Arabidopsis thaliana: one gene and its partners. The protein of the gene in region 1 binds, or shares a complex with, the protein of each later gene. Each region holds a gene or a part of one and is shown in the gene's direction. Other genes may lie near its edges.

Region 1 (7,489 bases):
AACAAAGGAGGTAAAGTGGAGACGCTAATGGTCGACGAAAAAGGACCCAAAAAAGAGTCAAAGACCCATACAATGATACAAAAGGAAAAAAGGAATGAAGTTTTATATGCAACACACTTGTAAATTAGAGAAATACCAGCTCATAAAAAAAAAGAGAGAAATACTCTAAAATACTATTAAACTAAATTTGTGTTTCATATATATTTGGTCCAACTGGTCAGAGCGCGAGTCATGTAATTAATAATTATCTTAATTTAATGTTTTCTATAAAAAAAGGTCTTAGAACCTGTTACAATAAAATAAAATATAAACTCTTGCTCTATAATTAACATGTTTTCAATTTATCTAGCATAAATATTTTCCAAACAAGAAAAAATGATAAAGTGTGTTATATAGTGAAAAGTTAAAACTTGAAAAAACAAAGAAACATAATCCATTTTAGAACAACTAAACATAAATTAAATCAATTAAGTTTTTAGAATATTATATATATATATATATATATATATATATATATACTAGTTGTATTTGTCACAATCAGGACTTAGGGAACCCCTCCAGTTTCTATTTGGAAATACCAACTTGTCCCATATTGAGAATACATTCCTATATAAGATAGGAATTTGGAAACACCCGAACAGTTATGGGATGGAACAAGAAGTGTGCTAACCTCTAACTGAAATATTAGTAAATAAAGAAAATTCTAAAAGTAAAAGAAAATTGGTTGTTACGCATCTAACATTCTCTATAGGAAATAGCCATCTCTATGATGATTTCATACTTTTGCCAGTTCCTTGGCTTATCTAGGATTAGCTCCATCATTTGGCAATCCGATTTACGAATTCTTCCTATCAAACTCACAACACTCTTTTCACTAGAGCAATATTGAAGTAGATCAAATATATTTAAAAGGTCATCTTCCTCCCCTAGCGACATAGCAATCAAACCTTTATGATTTATCTATAGCAGTAGACATCTTGTAAATTAAAACTTTAACTATATGAAATTTGAGAAATCCAGAACTTGAAGGAAAAAATAGCAACAAATATTTGTAGTAATAAGACCACTTTAATGAGGTAACTGTTATAAATGTGATGATTATCCATCACATTACTTCTCTTTCAAGAAAATGGATAGTTATCCAAAGTTCATTATTATCCCTCATCATTTTACATTATCTACTTAAATCCTAAGTAGCTTCCTCCCCAAACAATGGTAGTTATCATATCCTAAAGGCTAAATGTCTAGCTTATCTTAAATTCCCTATATATACGATGATGGACAAGAAGTGAGTAAGATAGACGAGGAAAAGGTGAACAAAAGGGCTTACGATCTAGGGATGATGAACCAAAATATTTTTCTTTTATGCCCAAACAAAGAAAAACTATTTTTTTACGATTTGCTTTTCCTTTACTCGTTAAAATAAAAGTATGACAGTTTAACATTTATTGCTCTTTATGCAAGTATGCAACCAATCATACCATAAGTTGCAATCAATATCTCACTTCAAATCTCCATACCACAAATGAGCCCAAGAATGTTATATGATCGATCACCTAAAATATTTTAAAACAAGTTTTAAGTCGTGTCCTACATCTATATGTGTTTTTTTTTTCCTTTAGTTAGAAGTCAAACAAACAATAAAATAGTAAGTATAATGATTGAAAAACTTGAGATCATGCTCTGATGTATAAATTTTTGGTCAACTCTTCCTCTTCGGTCTAATTTTTCTTCTTCTGTTAATACAATTATTTATGAGCAAGAATGATATTTTATTTTATCTTGAAATGGAGAAGCCACCATTAATGCTACAGTAAGGGTTAAGACGTGAAAGTGGGGCCAACCACTGTGTTGCCGAGAGAAAACTTAATTCCTTGAAAGTGAAGGGATCCAAAGTCAGAAATGACACACACACCCGTAATAAAGCCAACTAGCCAAGAGTTTTTTTTTGTTATAAAGAAAAAAAAAAGGTCTCACTCATCAACAACGAGTGAAAAAAAAATGTGAAACCAATAAAGCCAAGAGTTAAGCTGCTTATTTTGCCTCTTTTGCCGAAACCAAAAGAACAAAAAAAAGGAACCATCAAAGAGGAAGCCAAGAAAAAAAAACGTCGGTGATGAGAGGAGGGGCTTTGTTATGCGGACAAGTCCAAGATGAGATTGAACAGCTTTCGAGAGAGAGTAGTCATTTTAGTCTTTCTACTGGAATTTTACCTTCACTTGGTGCAAGAAGTAATCGACGAGTTAAGCTTAGGAGATTCGTTGTATCTCCTTATGATCACAAATACAGGTTTCACTCTTTTGTTTTTTGTTTTTCTTGTTTCTCTTCCATGTCAAGCTAAGAAGACGATTACCATTTTAACTTGATATATATTTCAACTATATAACTTCTGATTCTTTCATTTATGAGGATCGGAAACAAGAAATTAACTTTACTTTAGGATCATAGTTAACAAATTTGTATTTTATTAAATGAATACTGAATATAAAAAAAAATTGTATTCTTTTTAATGGTTGGTGATCAACTTTTGTAATTTATTGTGGGTAAATACTATTAAGTATATGCACTAGATTAACTAACCTTATTTTCTATGAGTTAGGTGAATAACTATTTGGTTAGGTTACAAGTTTACCCTCAAAATAGTAAGAGTTTCATGTTGGTTTTAAACAAATAACATGTTATTTTATCTTATTGGACTATTTTATTTGAAAAATGTTTTAATTTCTTCATAAAATAAAAAAATTACGTGCAAATAAAAAATGCTAGTTGGTCAAACAACACAAAAATGTTGGTTTCCACGTTTTTTTACCTCAACAACAATTGATTTTTAATAATAATATTTTCTTAGGTTAATTTGAAAATTTTAACTACTTGACGACTAAAGCTCCCTTTTTACTCAACATTTGGAATATTCAAATCCTAGTTCCCTAATATTCAAAAAAGAAGATCTATAAATGTGAAGGCTATTGTAGAATATTCAAGGCTCCCATTATTACTCTCGTTGGCTAATTAGCTTAAAAGCCGCCTTTGCTTTTGGCTTTTGCTTTTTGGGGATAATTTATAGTAATTGAAAAAGAGAATGTGGAACATTCAAGGCACTCATTACTTGATTTCAACGACTGATATCAAATCTGATATATTACTATAACCAAAAGTAGAAAAAACTGTACTTGGTTGTTGTATCCTCAATAGCGTCATCAAATAGTAACATACTATTGAAACACAAAGTACTGATAAATTAAATATGAGACTTACTTGGATATATTCATGCAGTAACTTAAGAGATATGTTCAACTACATGTAGAAAATGTACTAGATTATTGAATATGACTGAAATGGAAATGTTGACTACAGGATATGGGAGGCTTTCCTAGTGGTTCTTGTGGTTTACACAGCTTGGGTTTCGCCTTTCGAGTTTGGGTTCTTGAGAAAGCCAAGGCCACCACTATCTATCACCGATAACATTGTGAACGCATTCTTCGCCATCGATATCATCATGACATTCTTTGTTGGTTACCTCGATAAATCGACTTACCTCATTGTTGATGACCGTAAACAGATTGCATTTAAGTACTTGCGTTCTTGGTTCCTTCTTGATCTTGTTTCAACCATTCCCTCAGAGGCTGCTATGAGAATCTCATCTCAGTCTTATGGATTGTTTAACATGCTTCGTCTTTGGCGTCTTCGCAGAGTCGGTGCCTTGTTTGCCAGGTTAGAATCACTAAACTTTTCTTCTTTCTTTCATTATTTTCTTTAATCTTGACATTCTCTGTTTAACAGACTAGAGAAAGACCGCAACTTCAACTACTTTTGGGTCCGATGCGCAAAACTCGTTTGTGTAAGAACATCAAAATGTTTTGCTTCTTATAATGTTATCTTTATTCAAACTACTACACTCTCGATGTAGTAATAGTGTAGATACTAACCAACCAGAGCATTTTTGCAGGTCACTCTTTTTGCGGTTCATTGTGCTGCATGTTTCTATTACCTTATCGCAGCGCGCAATTCTAACCCCGCAAAGACCTGGATTGGTGCAAATGTAGCAAACTTCCTAGAGGAAAGCTTGTGGATGAGATATGTGACTTCCATGTATTGGTCCATCACTACTCTAACCACTGTTGGTTATGGTGATCTGCATCCTGTGAACACAAAGGAGATGATATTTGATATCTTCTATATGCTCTTCAACCTCGGATTAACCGCTTACTTGATTGGTAACATGACAAATTTGGTAGTCCATGGAACAAGTCGGACTAGAAATTTTGTAAGTTAGCATCTTCATATCCATCTTCAATCTTTGAAGCATATCCATCGCGGTTTATAATATTTTGTTCTCATTTTGCAGAGAGATACAATCCAAGCTGCTTCAAATTTTGCTCATAGAAACCATTTACCACCTCGTCTGCAAGATCAAATGCTTGCACATTTATGTTTGAAATACCGGACTGACTCTGAGGGTCTGCAACAGCAAGAAACTCTTGATGCACTCCCAAAGGCCATTAGATCGAGTATATCACACTTTCTTTTCTACTCCCTCATGGATAAAGTCTACCTGTTTCGAGGAGTATCCAATGACCTGCTTTTTCAACTGGTATACTAATGACAATGCATGTGAAAACATCATTCATATCCCATTTTCAACACACAAATGAAGCTACCACTACTTTGTACATTTTACAGGTCTCAGAAATGAAAGCTGAGTATTTCCCACCAAAAGAAGATGTTATCTTGCAGAACGAAGCGCCAACAGACTTCTACATCCTTGTGAACGGAACCGCGGTAATAAAACATTACAAAGTTCTCTACAGATTTGTTGAGTTGACATAAAACTTACTTCTCTTACATATCCGTTATGATGCAGGACTTGGTGGATGTAGATACTGGAACAGAAAGCGTAAGTCGCGTCACTTGATGGATGTTTCTTATTTTATGTTTATCCCTTTTGTCTCCATACCTGTGATCTTGGAGTTATGATGTAACTAAGCATTCACAAAGAGAAGTTTATGGAGAATTTCAGATTGTGAGAGAGGTTAAAGCTGGAGACATTATAGGGGAGATAGGGGTGTTATGCTACAGACCACAACTGTTTACTGTGAGGACCAAACGTTTGTGCCAACTGTTGCGTATGAACCGTACAACTTTCTTGAATATTATTCAGGCCAATGTTGGTGATGGTACCATAATCATGAATAATCTACTTCAGGTGAATAAACAGATCCTTCTGAGGTTTTCAAATATTGAAAACAGAAAAGTATCTATGAACTATTACTTACTTGTTCTCACTCTCTTTCTTTGTGGAGAGCAGCATTTGAAAGAAATGAATGATCCGGTGATGACGAATGTTCTGCTGGAGATAGAAAACATGCTTGCACGGGGTAAAATGGATCTTCCTCTCAATTTATGCTTTGCTGCAATAAGAGAAGACGATTTACTTTTACATCAGTTACTAAAGAGAGGACTTGATCCAAATGAATCGGATAACAATGGCAGAACACCTCTGGTCAGTCAAGTTCACATTCTTGTTCTGTTATTTTCTTCTCATCCAAGCTCTTGGAGACTATAACTTATGATCTCTTTTTTTTTTCTGGAAACAGCATATAGCAGCATCAAAAGGAACTCTAAATTGTGTTCTTCTTCTGTTGGAGTACCACGCAGACCCCAATTGCAGAGGTACTTGCTTGTTCAGTTCTGGTACTTCCCTTTTGATTTCAGGATTTCTTCTGAAGTATTGAGCTTCTTGGTTTCTTCGAAATGTAAACGCAGACGCGGAAGGGAGTGTACCACTGTGGGAAGCAATGGTGGAAGGGCATGAGAAAGTTGTAAAGGTACTGTTAGAACATGGCAGTACCATAGACGCAGGGGATGTGGGTCATTTTGCTTGCACGGCGGCTGAGCAAGGAAACTTGAAACTACTAAAAGAAATTGTTCTTCATGGTGGAGACGTTACTCGTCCTAGAGCCACAGGCACCTCTGCGCTCCATACCGCTGTATGCGAAGAGAACATTGAGATGGTAAAGTATCTTCTGGAGCAAGGTGCGGATGTTAACAAGCAGGATATGCATGGTTGGACGCCGAGGGATCTTGCTGAGCAACAAGGGCATGAGGATATTAAAGCCTTATTCCGAGAAAAGTTACATGAGAGGAGAGTGCATATCGAGACAAGTTCTTCGGTACCTATACTCAAAACCGGGATCCGGTTCCTCGGAAGATTCACTAGTGAACCCAACATCCGTCCTGCATCAAGAGAAGTGTCTTTCAGGATTCGAGAAACAAGAGCAAGACGTAAAACTAACAACTTCGATAACTCGTTGTTTGGTATATTAGCAAATCAAAGCGTACCCAAGAACGGGCTAGCTACGGTAGATGAAGGCAGAACTGGAAACCCGGTGAGAGTGACGATTAGTTGTGCAGAGAAAGATGACATAGCCGGGAAGCTGGTACTGCTTCCTGGGAGTTTCAAGGAGTTGCTAGAATTGGGTTCCAACAAGTTTGGTATTGTTGCTACCAAAGTTATGAACAAAGACAACAATGCAGAGATTGATGATGTAGATGTTATAAGAGATGGAGATCATCTCATCTTTGCAACTGATTCTTAACAACCATAGAAACTCTCTGCCACATTCTATCACCTATTGTTATTAATGACAAGTTGATAACTCTTGTTTTTAACAACTTTGTCAAAAAATGAAAGAGACAAAGAATGCTTAAAGGAAATATATATGCAGACACAACAACCAAAAACACAAGCTGGACCGACCATTGACGGTCTGCTACTGACTACAACAAGTTTTTCCGCAAAAAAGAAGAAAAATATTGTTAACCAGTTTGGTGTATCTGATTATCAAATCAAGAAAAAGGTAAATTCACTGGGAAGACACAAAATATCAAAAGCTGAAAACTCAAAAACCTCTTCTGAAAATTTGCCACTAAGTGGTTTCTAGATTGTGGAGACCTTGGGGACTTCAACTGGGAACTCATGAATTTCATCCATCCATGGGTTCTTCTCTTTCTTAGGGTTTACCGACCTTACCGCTCTCCAAACCGAGCTGTTGCACTTGAACCCCGAACCAAAAGCTATCTGCCAAATTCTATCACCTTTCTTGATCCTTCCTTTGGCCTCACTATATGCTAATTCATACCACAAAGAAGAACTGGACGTGTTACCAAAACGGTAGAGTGTCATCCTCGAGGGCTCCATATGCCACTCTGTGAGTTTCAAGTTCTTCTCCAATTCATCAAGAACAGCTCTCCCTCCTGCGTGGATGCAGAAATGCTCAAACGCTAGTTTGAAGTCTGGGATGTAAGGCTTGATCTTCATCTTGAAGAGTTTTCTTCCCACTAACGTTGCAAAGAACAGAAGCTGTTCAGATGTCGGTAAAACCAGTGGTCCTAACGTCGTAATATTTGTCTTTAGAGCATCACCCGCAACAGCCATAAGTTCTTTCGACAAGGTAACACCAATCTTACTTGCGGAATCCTCTTCTTGAGT
Region 2 (5,821 bases), on another chromosome or scaffold:
AATAGCTGCAACGCATTATGATTATCCGCAGCAACAAAGCCTGCTTCAACCTCATAACCATCAATTAAACAATTCTGTAATCACTAACACATCATACATATCTAAAAATTCAAAATTGGTAACTCACCAAAATTCTTTAGTAGATGACAAAGCCCAGCCACCAATGAAGCTATGTGGTTGCAATCATCAGAATCAAATCTCTTGTCCCCATTTACCGTATCCTATTCAAAAACATGTTCAAATCTTAAATTGAACAATCCGAAGCAAATTGCCGAAGTGTGAAACAATAAACCAATCAATCAATACCTCTAAACGAAAAGGGAATTGCTCAATGAGAGATTCGAAAAGAGTTGAAGGAGATACGCCTGTGGAGCTTAAAACACAGTCAAGGAAAGCAGGAATAGCTGCTGGTGGAACTTGCTTGAAGCTCAGTGACAATGAAGTAATCACTGACGAACCCATTTCAATTGAAGCTTCGAACTTCAAAAAAATTGGCTGCAAGCAGCCAGAATAGATGAAGAAACGTAAACGAATTTGAAATTAGTACAGAGGGAAGTGTTACGAGGAATCTCTCTGTTAAACCCTTTCAAATAATTTTCATGGCTTAGGACAGATAAACCCTAGTCGTATAATTAGGGGGGAAATTAGAATTATTGATAAGGGCTTTCTTGGGCTTAACTTAGTATGATTGGGCCGTATGGGATAGACTTCAGGAGAAGAAAAAAAAAAAAAAACCGGAAATTGTTCGGGGGATTGAACCCGACGTGAATCGAACACGCAACCTTCTGATCTGGAGTCAGACGCGCTACCATTGCGCCACGGATCCGGATGTTATTATGTTGCATTTATAAAATTATAATACCGTAGTATACGCAAATTAAACAAAACATTTTGAGGACGCGTTCCCAACACGGCCGGTGACCAAAGAGTCAATTTAAGCCCGCTTTAAAGATATCAAAATGATATAAAACTCTAATTGATCGAGTTAACGGCAGGAGAATCAAAGCTACTAATCATAATCAAGAAATTTAATATATATACGCTATTATTATTGTTTTGAACGATAAACACGTGGTCTGGTCGTGATTAAGGTCCTAATTATGTCAACGTTTGCCTGCCACATTGCAGACCGAAGTACTAATTCCACACCGACTGGTCTACGACATATTTAATTCATAAACACAATACTTTATAATTAAATTGATTCTTGTAGAGATTTGGCTTCATGATCTGATTTATTTAGTTAATAACCATTTCAACAGATAATTACAGTTTAGAGCCTTTTTCCAGTTGTCAAGAGTGTTATGGTTTTAAAATGGCACCCTGTAAATATCACATATGTTAGTGGATTTATTTTACCAAAGAAACAAAAAATGTTAATGGATTAAAAAACTTGTGTTTTTTTAGATAGCAAAACCAAAAGAAGATATGGTGACCACTAACACGATCAGTCGAAGACAAATGTTTCCCAGACTTTATTATTGGCGTTTCCATTTTGCATATTAGTCAAATTATGGAGCATCGCAAATATCTAATAAACTAACTATATAAAAAGTTATTATAATACAGGGTTACCAATTCCGTATATTCAGAATATTCCTAAGAGGTGCCATTTTGACTAATAAAATGGACGGATCTTTGATTTATTCCGGAAGTGAATGGATATTAGAAGAAACAAAAGAAATTTTGAATTTCTTGTCCAAAAAATATTTTTCCCATTCTTAGTATACAGAAACATAGAAAATATCGTGTATGCTTACGTAACAATCAAGTTGTAAAAAGAAAAAAAGACAGAAGATAAATAGTACAGAATGAACATAACAGAAATCAATCTATGGAATTAGGTACAATTAGGTTCGGTCTAACTGAAATTACATGACGACAGAAAAAACTGAACTAAACGCCGATTCTATTAACTTCCAAAACTGACTCGTCTCACACGCGCTTACTATGATTCACACGTGCGAATATGCCATCATATAAGCGCTACTAAAATTCATTCCAAAGGAAAAAGAAAAATAAATAATCGATCTCAACCGTCCGATCATCCATCTTGCCATCACCGTTCACCAATCTTCTTCGTCTCCTCTCTCTTTCTCTCTTTTTGCTGTTTCTAGCTCCTCTCTCTCTGGATCTCGCCGGCGAACCGTTTCTCTTGGGTGGTGAGTGTTGCTTCTTATTTTTAAGAATCTTTTTCTTTTATTTCCATCGAATTTCGTTTTTTTGAGTTTGATTTTTGGCCTGTGGAATTCTCGATGTTTCTACATTGATCGTCTGGTTTCGAATCGTGTTTTACTGGTACAATTTTGATTCCATCTCCGTATCTTATGGATTCGAAGAACTTTGTGTTTTTTTTTTCTTTCTTCATTGATGCTACTTTGCTAGGGTTTACACTTTTTTCTTCCATGGTAAAAAAATTTGAGCAAAGTTGTTGAGATTCTTCTAGACTGTTTTCAATTTTACGTTTCACAAAGATTTTTTTAGATGATTTGTTTCTAATGAAATGGCATTGTTTGTGTTCTGTTTCCATATGTGTAGATTTTGAAAATATGTTTGTGATGATTGTGCAGTAAACAGTAGCAATCAAGCTATAGAATCTCAGATATCGCTGAATTAGCTGTTGGATTTTATCCGCCTTTTCTTCGTTATCCGGGGCTCGGGTATAAGGTTTCATCGTCTTATTTCATCTGTAAATGGGCTGCTTCCACTCAAAGGCAGCAAAAGAATTTCGAGGACACGAAGACCCTGTTAAGCTTGCCTCTGAGACAGCTTGTAAGTTTACTCGCGCTATAAGTTTAAACCTCCTCTAGATTCATTTCTCTCAAAGCTGCATGTTCATTTGTTTTCTGATATGAGATGAGAATCATCAGTTAGATTCAAATCATTCTTTCTCTGTTCACTGATTTAGTTTATCTCCGGTTTGGATTTTTTTAGTTTTGTGTTTTGGAGTCTTTGTCTGCCTAACAATTTCTAGTAATGATCCTTCAAAGTTGGTTAACACTCTATCTCATGTTTCTTGTTACCAATACCATCACCTTAATCTTGTTCCTTAACTTGTCAAGACGAGTTCTCTCTCCATGCAAATTCTAAATGTGAATTATTAGTCTCTTTGTTTGTTTGTTTGTTTGTTCCTGGTAATTCTTTGTTTTGATCTCGTAGTGTTGCTTGTTTTTTTCTCTTTTCCAGTTAGTGTGAGTGAGGTTGAAGCATTATTTGAGCTATTCAAGAGCATAAGCAGTTCGGTTGTTGATGATGGTCTGATTAACAAGGTACAAAGTTTGTTTCTTTTGACCCAATTTGGATCTTTTCATGACCCCATCGTTGTATCTTTTTGTTCTTTACGCTATTCATCTACAGTATTTTTCAACTTAGTTGACTTTATTTGAGCAATAATTATTCTTCCATGACGATATGTCTGTTCCATATTGCATCGATTCAATGTATCGTAGCCCTTAATGTTTGACTTGAACTTAACTTATTTTATTGATTGCTTTGATTTTGAATTTTGAAGCCTTCATGGCCCACCTTGTTTATGTTGTTTTTTAATCCTGGCTTCACATGTATGCAGGAGGAGTTTCAACTTGCTTTGTTCAAAAGCCGGAAGAGGGAGAATATATTTGCTAATAGGGTAAAATCTTAATTCTTCAGGCTTTTACAAGATTCATCTTCTGGAAGAGTGATCTAAACCAAGATAATATGTCCATTATCCTAAACAATATTGCTTTTCCGCAGATATTTGATATGTTTGATGTTAAACGAAAAGGAGTCATCGATTTCGGGGACTTTGTAAGATCACTCAATGTTTTCCACCCCAATGCTTCTCTAGAAGACAAAATAGATTGTAAGTTGACATAAGATAGTTTCATATATAGGTGTTTATTGAAGCTTTTGTGAAGAGATTTATTGATTCTGGTCTGCCATTTTTTCTCAGTTACGTTTAGGCTTTACGACATGGACTGCACGGGTTACATTGAACGACAAGAGGTAATACTAACTTGCAAGCTTTGAATACTAGTCATGATAGATCTTTGCCATGTTCTTGAGTATTCATCTTTTACTTAATAACTTTGCAAGAAATCGTTAATGAATGTGATATATTTGCAGGTCAAGCAAATGTTGATCGCGCTTCTCTGCGAATCTGAAATGAAACTGGCTGATGAAACCATAGAGATAATACTCGATAAGGTTTGTTGTTGTCTAAGGCTTTATTTTTCTAGATGGTATACATTTAGAGATGATGTTCTTAATGTGGTTTCCTTCGTCCTTCTCATATATGAACAGACATTTGAAGATGCAGACGTGAATCAAGATGGAAAAATTGATAAATTAGAGTGGAGTGATTTCGTAAACAAAAATCCATCATTGCTTAAGATCATGACTCTTCCATATCTCAGGTATATTACAAATTGCCTTTTATGGAAACCAAAGAAAACTGAAAAATGCCAAATGAAATGTCATATTAACTTGTACATAAACAATGCAGGGATATTACGACAACGTTTCCGAGTTTTGTCTTCCATTCGGAGGTCGATGAGATTGCCACATGAAGAAACAAACTGGTTTAAGACCGAGTAGATTGCCACGAGTTGGAAGAACAAGTCTGAGCTAATCGGTGTAATCAACATCTGTTTGTAAACAGTAGTAGAGCATATTCTCTTGAAATTGTTTGGGTTACTTTTTTCTTCTCACAACAGTTTAAAATTTTGGGTTTTTAGCTTACAAAAAAAAAAAAAGAAGAAGCGCGTAATCACCAATCCTTCACTTCATATAGTTAGGAAATGTTAATGAGTTTGTACATATTACATCATACGTTTGTTGTAATTGTTTTTTTTCAAGTAAAAAAGTAAAGATTTGTTACGTTTACTCGGGGTTCTAATTGTTCCAATGGAATCTTATACTGCAAAAACGTGAATTTGAGATTTTGTTGGGTCCTTAACCGCAAAAGCGAAAGTACGAATGTCCTAGGACCCGACCCGATGAAATTTACAGTCTTGCCACTCTTCTCTTGTTACAGTGTTCCTCTCTTCTCTCTCGATTTCGAAGTTTCCAGCAATTTAGGGTTCTTTCTCGATTGGAGAATTCGTATGTTGTTATCATGTTCTCGTCATTGTTGTGCTTTCTTTGTTAAATTCTAGATTTGGAATCGAAATTCTAGACTAATGTTTAGGAAACGGAACTTAGTTCTAGAATCATTTCGTCGATTCGATAGCGGTAACGTAGAAACCCTAATTTCATGGGTCTTGTGTAGTCGCACCTCAAAGCCGTCTCTGTTCTGTACTAGTGTTAAACCTGCTAGATTAAACTGGGAAGTTTCTTCTCAAGTAATTCTCAAGAAGAAGCTAGAAACAGCTCTTAAAGATCACCGTGTAGATGATGCTTGGGACGTGTTTAAAGATTTCAAACGCCTCTATGGATTTCCAGAGAGTGTAATCATGAACAGATTTGTTACTGTGTTGTCTTACTCGTCTGATGCTGGTTGGCTTTGTAAGGCTAGTGATCTTACTCGTTTGGCTTTGAAGCAAAATCCAGGTATGTTAAGTGGCGATGTGTTAACAAAGTTGTCGTTGTCTCTAGCGAGAGCTCAGATGGTTGAATCTGCTTGTAGTATCCTTCGAATAATGCTGGAGAAGGGATATGTTCTAACCTCAGATGTATTGAGGCTTGTTGTGATGCATATGGTGAAAACAGAGATTGGGACTTGCTTAGCTTCGAATTATTTGGTTCAGGTTTGTGATCGTTTTGTGGAGTTCAATGTGGGGAAAAGAAATAGCAGCCCCGGGAATGTTGTGAAGCCTGATACGGTCTTGTTTAATCTTGTACT
Region 3 (5,443 bases), on another chromosome or scaffold:
GAATCAGTGAAAGTTTATCTCTACTGAACTACTGATCTTCAGATTTTGTAATCTTTCTGCTTTAAAAATCTCTATGAAGTAGTCTCAAAGATAATGTATCGAAGGTCTTTGACTTGTAAAGCAGACCTATTTCGTTTTGACGCTTGATAATTTAATCAATAAGAGATTTTATTTTTTTTAATATGCTTTCTACTGTTAATACATCATCAAATAGTAGCGTTTCCAGATGGATGTTTGTGAAAAGTCATCAAGTAAGTCATATTTGTGAATTAATCAAAACCGCACTTCATCAACCAACCAACCAACCTCCAAAGAATTTGGGCTTCAGTACTAACGTCCTTTAAGGGTGTAACACATTACTGCTCTGCTCTTATTGCCGCAACTAATTTGACTCAATTTTAAGTACAAAATGGACCATTAAACTGTTGTCACTTGTCAGGACCACCGGCCCAAAATTAGTAGGGACCTTAGGACAGTTTGATATTAGTCTTTTAGTAAAAAAAAAGTTTTTTTTGTTTATCTATAAGAAAATACAATATTTTTTTAATAGATCTTAATTTTCTAAAATATCAACAGTCTATGTTTATTTTTGTGTCTGATTTAAAAAAAATTAGTTAGTTATCAAAACTTAAAACAAAAATATTAGGTCCAGGACTTTGGCATCTCCCACTTTCTTGAAAAACATGGATACTGTATGGACCTTCTTGTTTACTATTGTCATAATCTTTTTTCTCATAATCTTTTTACTATACTCATAATCTCTCCTCCTCATAATACATCTCCCACTTTCTTAACACCTCATAAGTCTTCTCATAATCTTTTTACTATCATAAAAGTTTCTGCTTGTATTGGAATGAAAGAATTTGACCATTTAATTTGGAATTCTAAACCCAATATAAAATTATAAACCACTCTTACTAGAGCCAGGATCCCAGTTTCAAATTTAATATACGTAACATGCATGATTTGGCCATGTCTTATGGATATGCTAATCCATTTCTTTTTTTTAGGCGAACATTATATAGTTTACATTATTGGATTGTTGGATGGCGTACGTACTTAATTAGTTTCAAAATTTGATAATATACATGATTAGATCATGTCTTATGGTTTATATAAAAGTAATTATGTTAATCCATAATTCTTATTTAGACCGCCTTTATACTATTGGATTTTTGTTTGTCCTACGTGATTGATTAGACTACTAAAATGTGACCAGAATTATTATAATTCTTCGTTTATCCCAAAAGGTATATGACCCATATTGAAATTATTATCAAACACACTCTACATGAATCTTGAATATATAGATAAATACAGTAATTAGTCCCCTTGCTAGTTGGGTTATCATATTAATATTTATTTATTGCAAGATCTTGAAGACTATGAGATCTTGACATCTGTATGGATTATGAAAATGAAAGATCCAATTTGAAAATTATATCTTATACAAATAAATATCATTCTTAGTATCTTTTGAGTATGTTAAATCTTGACTCTACAAGTACTAGTTACCTCTCTACACTTTTTTTTTCTTACAGTTATAAACTTACATAAAAACAAAATTCGAGTCTAAATATTTTTCTTTTAATAAAAAAACAAAAACAAAACAAAATCATTGCAGAATTGTAAGAAAACTTGTAAAAATGATTAACTTTCTTAACCAATAAAAAAGGAAAGTTGAAAGTTGAAATTTCGAAACTAAAATGTCAAACAACAATAATGGCTTTGTTTTCTTCCCACACTGTAATAAAAATAAAATAAAAATGGGGTTGGTAGAAAAAAAGAGGTAAAAATGACAAGGATGTGTTTCACACGCGTTCAGACCCTCACACGTGCGACGATCATGTTATAAACAAACTCTCTCATAATTTCCCCAATCGGAGGCCTCTGACGAACAAAAAAAGCCCAGCAAAGTCTGAAGTTAATCTCAGCCGTCCGATCAATTCATCTACCATCGTGGTCAGAGATCTTCTTCTTCGTCTCTCTCTCGTTTCTCAAAAATCAAAATCCCTTCCTCTCTCTCTCTCACCGAGCCGGCGAGCCCGTTCTCTCGGTGGTAAGTGCTCAATTTTTCGATTTCACCATTCAGTTTCTGGGTTCGGAGATTCTCGAGCCGCTCCTACATTACCTGTTTAATTTCCGATTTAATATTCAAAATTTTGTTAATCTGAATTCGATTGCCACATAGCTGCTGCTTATTTTTTCTAGGGTTTATACTTATTCAATTATCGTGTTCGTCTTTTAATTCAATTTTTGTTGGGTTTTGTTTTTGATTGAATCATTGTAGTTTTTAAAGATGCTTATGATGATGATGGGGAGTGAGTAATATCAGAAATCAAGCTTTTTCACAATCTCAGAAATTGTAGTAGAGTTTGGCGATTTTATCAACCTCCGGAACAAGCTTCTTCTTCTTCGTTTTACTCTTGTCATCCGTAAATGGGTTGTTTCCATTCCACGGCTGCCAGAGAATTTCCCGATCACGAAAACCCTGTGAAGCTTGCTTCTGAGACTGCTTGTAAGTTTACTTGCACTATACGTTTCGTTTTCTCTTCTTTGCTTTATTCTCAAAGAGCATGAGCATAAAGATCTCTCTTTTATCAATTGTTAACTGATATGAGAATCTGTTTTCGCCATTTATTGAATCCGAAAAATGGTTCTTTCATTCATAATCTATTTGATCTACAACTTTGTTAAATGATGCTTGTTGTTACTTAAGTCATCACATAAACCTATTTCAATAGTTTCTTGGATCATTAGTGTAGTTTACTTCTACTTTCAAATGGAATCTTAATCAGAGAAAGTTTTCAAGAACCATCACTTTCGATTTTTGTTTTGGTGATATACATGATGTTGATGAGAAATCTCGCAGTGTGGCTAATTATTTGTTTGTTTTTCTAGTTAGTGTTAGTGAAGTTGAAGCATTGTATGAATTGTTCAAGAGCATAAGCAGCTCGGTTGTTGACGATGGCTTGATAAACAAGGTAATGATAAATCTCATAGCCCTTTGATTATTTCGCACCTCATGGGAGAATCTTGAATGCGTGATGTACAGTGACATAATAATATTCATTGCACCATTATCCATATTCCGTATTATTTGTCAACTTTCTTGACTTTCACAAATTTATTATTGAATCTCCATGCTGAGCTGTGGGCTCCTTATTGCTCACCAAGTCTCTGTGTTGATGATAGTTGACTTGAATTTTAATTCCATTTTTTATATTGGTTTGCTTATAAAAATTGATGTTTTCTTGGCCCACTCTTGGATATTGTTACTTATTTTCTCGACCAACTTGTTATGCAGGAAGAGTTTCAACTTGCTTTGTTCAAGAACAGAAAGAAAGAAAATTTGTTTGCCAATAGGGTAAATTCTAAGTTTCTTTGGCCTTAGTAACTTTGTAGTTAGTCGTAACGATTAGTTCTATTATAAGTAGTTAATGGTAATGCTCTTTTTTCCAGATATTTGATTTATTTGATGTTAAACGAAAAGGCGTAATTGATTTTGGAGACTTTGTGAGATCACTCAATGTTTTCCATCCTAATGCTTCCCTAGAGGAGAAAACAGACTGTAAGTTGACCCATAAACGAGTTTATATCCATCGTCGTTTCTCTAAAGCCTTGCTGTACTTTTATTCATGTTATTCTGTATTTCATATATCAGTTACCTTTAGGCTTTACGACATGGACTGCACAGGCTTCATTGAGCGCCAAGAGGTAAACAATGGTCCTATATCTTCACATTCCATTCCCAAACAATCTATGTTTCAAAGACTTTCAGTATTATGGATTCTGCATCATCTATAAGTAATCATAATTGTGTATGCGTTTTTGGCAGGTGAAGCAGATGTTGATTGCACTTCTCTGCGAATCTGAAATGAAACTGGCTGATGATACAATAGAGATGATACTTGATCAGGTTTACTTGTTGTCTATTACAAGTTTGTTTTCTGTCAAAAGAAAGACTGTTTTATGAAACTCGAGTTTTTTTTTCTTTTCGTGAACAGACATTTGAGGACGCAGATGTGGATCGGGATGGAAAGATTGATAAGACAGAATGGAGCAATTTCGTTATCAAAAACCCATCTTTGCTTAAAATCATGACTCTTCCGTATCTCAGGTATGTCTCCTTACTATGATACTTCCATCTATTTGGCCAGTTTTGGTGCCATTTTCCAAGTTTGAGGACTTAAAAACTCAATTTTAGGGATATAACGACGACATTTCCGAGTTTCGTATTTAACTCGGAGGTGGACGAGATTGCGACGTGAAAGAGACAAGACAAGCTGGTTTATAGAGACCAAGTCGTAGGCTGGACCAAGAATAAAAAGAAGATTGATTCCAACAATGTTATATAGCAGGATCGAGCTCTATTTCCTTTGGAATTTTTAGTCTATTGGATTTCAATTTCATGTATTGCGATTACTTTTGGCTCTCTTTCTTTAACAGTTTTGAATACTCAAGTTGTAGTTCTACGAAAAGATTAATATAAAACCACAATTTCTGATTAAAGATTTGATTTTGCTCATAAATTATTCCAACACTTTATGTTTTATGTAACGAGAAATCAAAGTCAAATATGCTTAGACAGAAGAAATTAGCCATATAAATCAATTTATTATTATTAAGGGAATTGAAAACTTCAAAAATACCAAAATGAAACTAAAATTATAATCAAACCAGACCTGAATTTATTGTAACCGATAAATCCGAATTGACGTGTGTGGTGCCGGCTTTGAGATGAAGACAGACCAATGATGATCCCAGTAGCTAAAGAACTCAAGCGGATTCAGACATTCCATGCTGTGGAGTGATTCTCTCTAATCCCCCTGTACGGCGACGCTTTTACATATCCTCCATGTTCTTTGACTACAAAAGCCAAGTTTGAGGATCATTTAGTTGAAACTCAAGAGTTCAGACAAGAATCATTTGTATGAAACTCAAGAGTTGATACCAAAAAGAAATTTCTCACGGAAGATGACACTTCCCCTGGCACAATCTAGATGAGCGTGATAGTGGGACGTTGTCCATATCTAAAAAAAGAAAAATGGCATGGTATAGAGAATCCCGGAAATACGGAGAAGAGGTTAATCTGTTGTATAACCGCAGATTCGACCTCGGATTAGTACTGTATTGTACTCTATAATTGCGCTTAACTCGCAAGTTTATGTTCATGGTTTTTTTTTTCCTTTTAACTCTGTGTGTGCACTTATCCTCCATACTATGGGTGTGATTGGTAACATGAGTTACCATGAGTTATATATGCTTGCACAAGTGATCTATCTTCTACACCTAGCCACATACGTTTATGTTAATGGTACACCTTAAAAATTTGTGTATTATAATGGAAGAAAAACTTAGTTCATGTCTATGTTCAAACTTCCAAAAAAGAATATTGGAATTTTGGTTTTCCCTTTACTATTTCATGATTATATTTGCCCAA

Evidence for each region.
Region 2: KT1 (region 1) and CBL1 share a complex: the UniProt entries of both Arabidopsis thaliana proteins name them as parts of the K(+)-channel calcium-sensing kinase/phosphatase complex.
Region 3: KT1 (region 1) and CBL9 share a complex: the UniProt entries of both Arabidopsis thaliana proteins name them as parts of the K(+)-channel calcium-sensing kinase/phosphatase complex.

What each region holds. Positions count from the first base shown.
Region 1 is NC_003071.7:11,331,072-11,338,560, reverse strand, and holds KT1 (K+ transporter 1), read left to right. Parts: upstream 1-1,822; 5' UTR 1,823-2,116; coding exon 2,117-2,289; intron 2,290-3,142; exon of another isoform or gene 3,143-3,354; coding exon 3,355-3,711; intron 3,712-3,780; coding exon 3,781-3,838; intron 3,839-3,946; coding exon 3,947-4,264; intron 4,265-4,345; coding exon 4,346-4,591; intron 4,592-4,680; coding exon 4,681-4,779; intron 4,780-4,861; coding exon 4,862-4,894; intron 4,895-5,017; coding exon 5,018-5,203; intron 5,204-5,305; coding exon 5,306-5,500; intron 5,501-5,594; coding exon 5,595-5,670; intron 5,671-5,763; coding exon 5,764-6,596; 3' UTR 6,597-6,711; downstream 6,712-7,489. Other genes in the region: KCS11 (3-ketoacyl-CoA synthase 11), read right to left, coding at 6,938-7,489. UniProt on the Arabidopsis thaliana protein: Highly selective inward-rectifying potassium channel that mediate potassium uptake by plant roots in response to low K(+) conditions, by a calcium-, CBL-, and CIPK-dependent pathway. Positively regulated by phosphorylation by CIPK23.
Region 2 is NC_003075.7:9,814,449-9,820,269, forward strand, and holds CBL1 (calcineurin B-like protein 1), read left to right. Parts: upstream 1-1,905; 5' UTR 1,906-2,162; exon of another isoform or gene 2,163-2,298; intron 2,299-2,538; exon of another isoform or gene 2,539-2,570; 5' UTR 2,571-2,693; coding exon 2,694-2,772; intron 2,773-3,186; coding exon 3,187-3,269; exon of another isoform or gene 3,270-3,532; coding exon of another isoform or gene 3,533-3,568; coding exon 3,569-3,628; intron 3,629-3,732; coding exon 3,733-3,841; intron 3,842-3,931; coding exon 3,932-3,984; intron 3,985-4,104; coding exon 4,105-4,185; intron 4,186-4,281; coding exon 4,282-4,575; 3' UTR 4,576-4,905; downstream 4,906-5,821. Other genes in the region: AT4G17610 (tRNA/rRNA methyltransferase (SpoU) family protein), read right to left, coding at 1-40, 128-221, 307-462; AT4G17616 (Pentatricopeptide repeat (PPR) superfamily protein), read left to right, coding at 5,160-5,821. UniProt on the Arabidopsis thaliana protein: Acts as a calcium sensor involved in the signaling pathway during growth and development and in response to abiotic stresses. May function as a positive regulator of salt and drought responses and as a negative regulator of cold response.
Region 3 is NC_003076.8:19,128,724-19,134,166, reverse strand, and holds CBL9 (calcineurin B-like protein 9), read left to right. Parts: upstream 1-1,862; 5' UTR 1,863-2,059; intron 2,060-2,290; 5' UTR 2,291-2,439; coding exon 2,440-2,518; intron 2,519-2,901; coding exon 2,902-2,984; intron 2,985-3,307; coding exon 3,308-3,367; intron 3,368-3,462; coding exon 3,463-3,571; intron 3,572-3,664; coding exon 3,665-3,717; intron 3,718-3,838; coding exon 3,839-3,919; coding exon of another isoform or gene 3,920-3,976; exon of another isoform or gene 3,977-4,007; coding exon 4,008-4,120; intron 4,121-4,207; coding exon 4,208-4,271; 3' UTR 4,272-4,527; downstream 4,528-5,443. UniProt on the Arabidopsis thaliana protein: Acts as a calcium sensor involved in abscisic acid (ABA) signaling and stress-induced ABA biosynthesis pathways. Contributes to the regulation of early stress-related CBF/DREB transcription factors.